2 linked regions of the Caenorhabditis elegans genome follow. The protein of the gene in region 1 purifies or fractionates together with the protein of each later gene. This does not show direct contact. Each region holds a gene or a part of one and is shown on either strand. Other genes may lie near its edges.

Region 1 (3,310 bases):
TCACCGCTGCTTGCCCACTGAATACATGATTTTTTTACTTGGAAATTGTTTTAGCATCTGCAAAAAATATTTATTTATCAGTTTTATTAAGAAAAAACGAAAAAAATCGATGAAAAACGAAAGAAAACAGGCGGAAAACAAAGCAAGATAAATGGCCGCTGAAACTTATCGGCCCCTTGGCCATGGCCTAGAAACCACTTTTCCTCTTCCCTCGTGAGGAAAATGTTGCAGTGTACAATGCAAATCTGAATTTCCGAACAATTTATATGCGGGCAGAGCTGTAAAATTTTGGTTGAACCTATAGTGAGAATCTAGTGAGATGAGTCCAATTCTACCACACGGGCAAATCTTTAAACTAACTTTGAAAAAAAGGGAAAAAATTTTAATTCCCGCGTCAAAAATTTACACAGAAACTTGAAATATTTACCCCTAAAGATTTTTCTCAGAAGGCAAACTTTACGACACAGTTTATTTGCGTTGGGACGACGGACTAATTTTTCAAACGGTGTAGAAAACTCGGCCACCAAAAAATTTTATAATGGTCAAAAAGTAACCTGAAAATTTTCAAAACTAATTTCATTAAATCCTGCCAATCTAATTTTTTTCTTTGAAAAAAATTATTTATTCGCGGCCGCGCAGAAGAAAACTCGGCCACCAACTTTTCGAGAACCCTCATATCAGCAAAAAAGAATACAATGTTTTTAGAAAAAAAACTCACAACTTTTCTTCGACTGAAAAAAAACTGTTAAACTAACCTCAATGTTCCGATATTAGTTTTGCGATGACGTGGCATTAAATATAATAAAAATGTGGAATTTGTTAAAAACTAAAAATTTCACGTAAATAGAACCGAGTTTATCAAGAAAGTTCACGAATATGTTCTGTTGAAAAACTTAGTTTTAACCGTAAAAATTCCAGGTTTTTATCAAGATGTGCCTATTAATAGAATATATTGTGTTCCCAACGCGAACTGTGCAAATTTTCAGACTACAGTACCCCTCTACAGTAGTAGTTTTGAATTCGAAATCGCTTTTTCTTCTTTTTAGTGTTTTCAAATCGAATTTTCTTGTAATTCTTGGATTTTTTGGTTCTGGAAATTCTGGAAAACCCCCTGAAAATGGTACAAAACCTATAATACAAGAAGAAAGTATTTTGATCGATGCACCATGACCCGATCTCCACGGGAACCGCCAAATCGACTTTAAAATCCCTTCCACGCGAGACCTGAATTTCGTTCTGGACCAAGAAAAGATTTTTTAAAAAATCTGATTTTCAAACATTTTTATTTTAAATTTTGCGAACCTGTAAAAAGTGAAGTTTTATGCAAATTTTCATGTTTCCCGCGATCTTTAATGCTAATTTTAGTTGGAAAATACGATTTTCTAACTATTTTTGAGGTTTTCTCAATGGAAAATATCGTTTTTCACTGCGAATCAGCCCGAATAAATTACAAAATTAATTCCAAAAGTCAACGTTAACGCTGACGTCCACATCGAGAAACGCGCCAAGGAGAGTGCTGACGCGCCCGCGGTGCGCGCAAACACGTCAGCTTATTTTCTCGAATTGCGTTCGCTTTTTCTCTATTTTCTCTCCGTTTTTTCCGCTTTCTTTTGTCTTTTTATTCTATTTTTCTGCATAATTTGTTGGTTTTTTTTTTCAGTTTTCCCGCTATTTACACTCTCAGAGCCCTGAAAACCCCGTAATAATCCCTGTTTTTTCCAGCAGATGAGCCGACTCGTCCTTCTCATCTCCCTGGTGATTGTCGTCGCCTCGGCTGCTGCTCCACAATGTGAAGGTTTGTAAATTTGAGAAAGCTTAATTACTTAATTATCTAATAAAAAATCGCGAAATTTTCAGTCTGCAAAAAGGTTCTGGACGATGTGATGGCAAAAGTGCCGGCCGGCGACAAATCCAAGCCAGATGCCATCGGAAAAGTGATCAGAGAGCATTGTGAGACCACTCGCAACAAGGAGAACAAATTTGTAGGGGATTTAAAGATTTAAATGATTTAATCTAATTTTCCTTTAAAATTTTTAATTTTTATCCATTTTCAGTGCTTCTACATCGGCGCACTCCCAGAATCGGCCACTTCCATCATGAACGAGGTCACCAAGCCGCTCAGTTGGTCGATGCCAACGGAAAAAGTCTGTTTGGAGAAGCTCAAGGGCAAGGATGCTCAGATTTGTGAGCTTAAATACGGTTCGTTTGGCGCATAATCTCGCTTTTAATCAAAAAAAAAAAATAAATAAATCCCCAAATTTCACAGACAAGCCACTCGACTGGAAGACGATCGATTTGAAGAAAATGCGCGTGAAAGAGCTGAAAAACATTCTCGGCGAGTGGGGAGAGGTGTGCAAGGGATGCACCGAGAAGGCCGAGCTCATCAAGCGCATCGAGGAGCTTAAGCCGAAATATGTCAAAGAAGAGCTGTGATTTTTTTTTCATGCCGTTCTACATGTGATAATCGTGTTTTTAGCGTGTGTGTTTTTATTGCAATTTTACTTGTTGAAATCTATTTTTTATTAATAATAATTTATTTATTGATTTCCCCCCCCCCCCTTAATTTTTTCGTGTTTCATCATCATCTTCCTCCCACTGGTCTGGTCAAATGAAGCTTTTTTCCCTGATTTTCCCTCAGTTTGCCAATTTTTCGGTTCTAATCCGGTTTTTAATAATTTATTTTACCTTTTTTCTAGGTTTTCCAGGAAATAAATCAGTTTAAAAATGTGATTTTCGAAGATTTACGGTCGAAAACTGGCATTTTTAGGCTGAAAATATCGATTTTCACCTTAAAAACCTCCAAAAACCAATTTTATCGATTTCGAAACGTTATTATTGATGGAAAATACGTAAAAATGGAAAATAATACCCATTTTCAGCTTTTTCAACGCCGAAAAATCAATTTTCGGCGATATTTTCTACTAAAATTACCGAAAAATGTGATTTTTCCGCAAAAATATGCGATTTCATAACAGTTTTCGTTGGGAAATGCACAGAAATCCAATTTTTCTAAAAATTTCGCAAAGGAATTGATTTTTTACTTAAATTACCGTTAAATTTATACATTTTTAGTATAAAAATTAAGATTTCGCGTGGATAACGAGAATTTACAGCGTTTTTTTGCTGAAAATATCGATTTTCTCGAATTTAGCGTTTTCAAAATGCTCAAAACGTCGAAAATTCAGTTTTTGGCATTATTTTTGATGGAAAATACGTCAAAAATGCCAATTTTCACTCTGAAATGCACATAAATCCTATTTTTTCGAAATTTCACTGTTGAATTGATTTTTTCACTCAAACTACCGGTGAA
Region 2 (3,929 bases), 8.4 Mb from region 1:
AAAGTTAAAAATAATTGAAAACTCTCGCTTACCGTCCGAGTTGATTTTAATCACATCATCCTGATAAACGATTCGAAATCAATATCTTGAACTTTTGTTCCGTTTCGTTTTCAGGACGATGTCATATCTAGATCAACTCAAAATATCATAAGAATAAATAAAGAAAGCAGTAAAGTGATGTAGAATGAAACGAACAAGTGAACGGCCCTTCCCATTCTAAGAGGTCCTTTTATTGGCGCCATGTGTAATAGTGTAATAACTAAGAGACACTGAGAAACAGGTGGATGAGAAAAGGGCGCCGAACCGACTGGCTCCGCCTACTTTTCGGAAGATAATGTGCTCGTGAACGGGGAGTGGGGACGAAAAGGACGGAAGAAGAGAGGAACGGAGGACCAGATGAACGATGATGACTGCCGAATCGAAGGGAACAAAAAGGACAGATTTATATGCGAAGTGGCAGGAAAATTGAGGGGTACGATACAATATGGAAAAAAGCTAAAGAAGAAAAGAAGAAGAAGAAGCAAGGTGACGGGTGGCCAGAAAAAATAGTATGAAAAAAAGAAAATACGAATACCGTATTTCATAAATTGGAGGTAAATAACTATTTAATAGATTTTGTCTGAATGAAACTATAATACTCATAAATGAACAGTATAGCACTTTGAAATGTTTTAGATTTTCAAAAAAAAATTTGGACAAAGTTTCGGTAAATTGCTTTTTCTGAATATATAAATAATTTGAAAATAATTAGAATGGGAAAATTGTAGTTTTATTTTGTAGGGTGATATCCAAATTATGAGTGGCAAAATCTGAATTATCGTCACTTTATTTTTTTCTGCAAACTTTATTGAAAGGTTAGCAATGTACGATACTATATCGTTTTGGCACTTTTCAATATTTTTGGAAGCATTTTAACTTTTATTTCAATGGAATATGAACAATTTAAAAATAAAATTGGAAGAAACCATTTTTTTTTATCAAAAAATGATTGGTGAAAACTGTGTGTTTCAAAATTGTTAATATTCCACTTTTGAATAAGTAACATTTCAAAAAAGTTGATTAGAAAAAATTAAATTGTTACAAAAAAACGACAATTCCAAAAGTTTTGTAAGTTCCTGAAAAACAATTGCAAAATTATTAAGAGCACAAAATGCTGAAATATGCGTTTTTAAATAGTTATGTGTGTCCTTTTGTAACAACTTAATTCAAAATTAATTTTTTAAAGTGTTTGATGTGCAATACTATTATAGAATACCTTCAAGGATGCCGTCATAATAATAAAAGTAACTTTTTTGTGTTACTCAAATATAGGTTACGGTAGCTCCACGGGCATTTTAATGACAACTTACATAAAACTTCTAAACAATAAATTCGAATTATCGATCGGATTTATTTCACTCGACTTCATAAAGTTATAGAAACTAGAAGAATCATTACGACTTTAAAAAATATCCAAACGATTTGTACATATGCAATTGCAATTGTTAAGTATATATCTGATTGAACAGTCAGTTTTTTTTTTCTAATTCTGTGGTATACGTTTCAAAATTGTACATTTCCCCTTTTCATTCCTCCATTTATTGTAATAAATTTGAAAAATGTCTCTTTGTTTCGATTCAGACAAGCTATTTGCAAACCATGGTAACCGTTAACAACGGCAGTAAAATAAGAGGAAAAGTGCGCGGCGGGCTTGCAGAGGGCGTGTAACTCCTCCCCATAATTCGTGCGGGACTCTGCAAAATTGAATTTTCTTGTGCGCATGCGTTCCTTTCGAAGAAATATTTTAACTGGTTTTTACATTTTTCTCCTAATCGAGTTTTAAAATTAGTTGAATTATTCTTTTCTTCCTATTTCAGATATAAATACGTAGATTCTCCATCAGAAATGGGTAGAAAGAAGAAGAAGGTCGATAAACCATGGTGCTGGTGAGTTTTTAAAATAATTGTACTGTTCTTGAAGTTAAACTATTCAATTTAGGTATTGTAACCGAGAATTTGACGATGAAAAGATTCTGATACAACATCAAAAAGCCAAACATTTCAAATGTCATATTTGTCACAAAAAATTGTTCAGTGGTCCAGGATTATCGATTCACTGCATGCAGGTTAATTTTTTTTTGTTCTTGAAAAAAGAAGTCATTCGGTAATCCCACGAATTACAGGTACATAAAGAAACTATAGACAAAATACCGGCAGCTGTACATGGCAGAGATAATATCCACGTTGAAATTTACGGAATGCAAGGAATTCCGTCTGGCGCTTATCGTGGAGCAGCTGACGAAGAACCGGACGAAAAACGATCAAGGATGGACAATGGACCACCTATGCCAACTCCTATGCCTTTCCCACAGCATTTCCCATTTCCTGGAATGCCTCCTATGCCGTCGGGTGCGGAAAACATATTTAAGTTCCATTCTAAAAACGGTTGATTTTTTAGGTCCACCACCACCGTCAATGGCATACGGAATGCCTCCAATGCCATCTGGTATGATGCCACCTCGCGGGATGCCAGGAGCTTATCCTCCGCCACGTGGATACCCTCCAGCGCCAGCTCCTGGCGTGTATATGCCTCCGCCAGGAATGCCTGGTGCATATCCTCCACCACGTATGCCAATAGGTCATGGACCACCTGGTGGCCCACCCATGCCTGGTCCTCCTCAAAGAAGCCGATTTGATCAACCTGACGGCGGAGACAGGTGGGGTCCACCAATGCGAGGAGTACCACGGACGCCACCATATGAAAACGAGCATGGTGAGTTTATGGCATTCGTAAAAGCTTGATTTAGCAAGCTAATAAATTTCAGAACATCAAGATTATCAAGCTCCAGATGACTACAATCAAGGAGGATACGATGATCGGTTTAGAGAAGGTGATCGTGGAGGTCCACCGGGAGGTAGCCGATTTGATCAAGTGAAAGCTGAACTAAAGGAGGAAATCGTCGAGGTATATTCCTTGATTTCAAATAATGGGATTTCGATCGAGCTTTATTGATATTTCATAAAATAAAGTTAAATAAAACTTGTTTTTAATTTTAATATTTTAAGCCTAACAACGGTCCACCAACTACGTCTTCTGGTGCAGCTGCCGCTTCTGCTGCGGCAGTAGTTGCATCTAAACTTGGCTCGAGGACAAGAATAGTCTATCCAGATGATCATTCGCTGTCTCTAGAGGAGCGTCGTGTAAAAATGCTCTTCGAAAAACGCAGCAATCCCTATCACTGAGCACTTCCGAATCTCTTCTTCTTTCATGTCCCGCCCATTTACCTTATATTCTGTGTTTTACTGAAAATTGTCCTCTCGTCCATGTTAAATTATTGAATAATCCATCGATGGGTTTTTATTTTTGAAATTCCAAAAAAAAAAAGCAATTTTTATCAATTGAATAAATTATCACCCACAGTAAAAAAAGATTGAAAATGAAGAAAAAACATCAATATTGGTAAGAAAGAAGTAGATTATGCTCGCAAACTCGGAGAAACATTCGAGTTAAGTGAAAACATGAAATGCTATAAAAATTTGATGATAAAACAGCTGCATAAAGGAATAATAATTTAGAAAGAACGAGTTATAAAATGCAATAAGTAATTTTTAGTAAATATTTAATCTTCATCGACAAACGAAATAGTTCCCGCGTTTTTCATATATCTCTTATACCTTTTGTACCGACCCGATTGAGCCATTTTTTCTTGTTCCGCAGCGTCTCGTTCGGCTTTCCACGTTGCACAGTTTCGTTTCAGCCAGCATTCTCGTTCAAAAAGATCATCAATGTCTTCATCAGTGTACTTCTGAAAATTAAATTATTAACTTTTGATGATAGAAAAAAGTATTTACCTGATCGAATTCCATTTGTGAAACTCCAATGTACTTTCTAATGAGATAAAGCTTGGCGTCATCATCATATTCCTCCTTTTGAATTGCAAATCTCCAATA

The links.
Region 2: the proteins of manf-1 (region 1) and znf-207 fractionate together in Caenorhabditis elegans (co-fractionation; one large-scale study listed by BioGRID). This does not show direct contact.

What each region holds. Positions count from the first base shown.
Region 1 is NC_003282.8:2,926,834-2,930,143, reverse strand, and holds manf-1 (Mesencephalic astrocyte-derived neurotrophic factor homolog), read left to right. Parts: upstream 1-1,722; 5' UTR 1,723-1,725; coding exon 1,726-1,795; intron 1,796-1,857; coding exon 1,858-1,982; intron 1,983-2,054; coding exon 2,055-2,199; intron 2,200-2,266; coding exon 2,267-2,433; 3' UTR 2,434-2,627; downstream 2,628-3,310. UniProt on the Caenorhabditis elegans protein: Inhibits endoplasmic reticulum (ER) stress response. Retained in the ER under normal conditions and is up-regulated and secreted by the ER in response to ER stress and hypoxia.
Region 2 is NC_003282.8:11,309,116-11,313,044, forward strand, and holds znf-207 (BED-type domain-containing protein), read left to right. Parts: upstream 1-1,856; 5' UTR 1,857-1,884; coding exon 1,885-1,925; intron 1,926-1,977; coding exon 1,978-2,104; intron 2,105-2,161; coding exon 2,162-2,387; intron 2,388-2,436; coding exon 2,437-2,751; intron 2,752-2,803; coding exon 2,804-2,943; coding exon of another isoform or gene 2,944-2,991; exon of another isoform or gene 2,992-3,024; intron 3,025-3,044; coding exon 3,045-3,221; 3' UTR 3,222-3,403; downstream 3,404-3,929. Other genes in the region: DnaJ homolog dnj-2, read right to left, coding at 3,599-3,784, 3,831-3,929.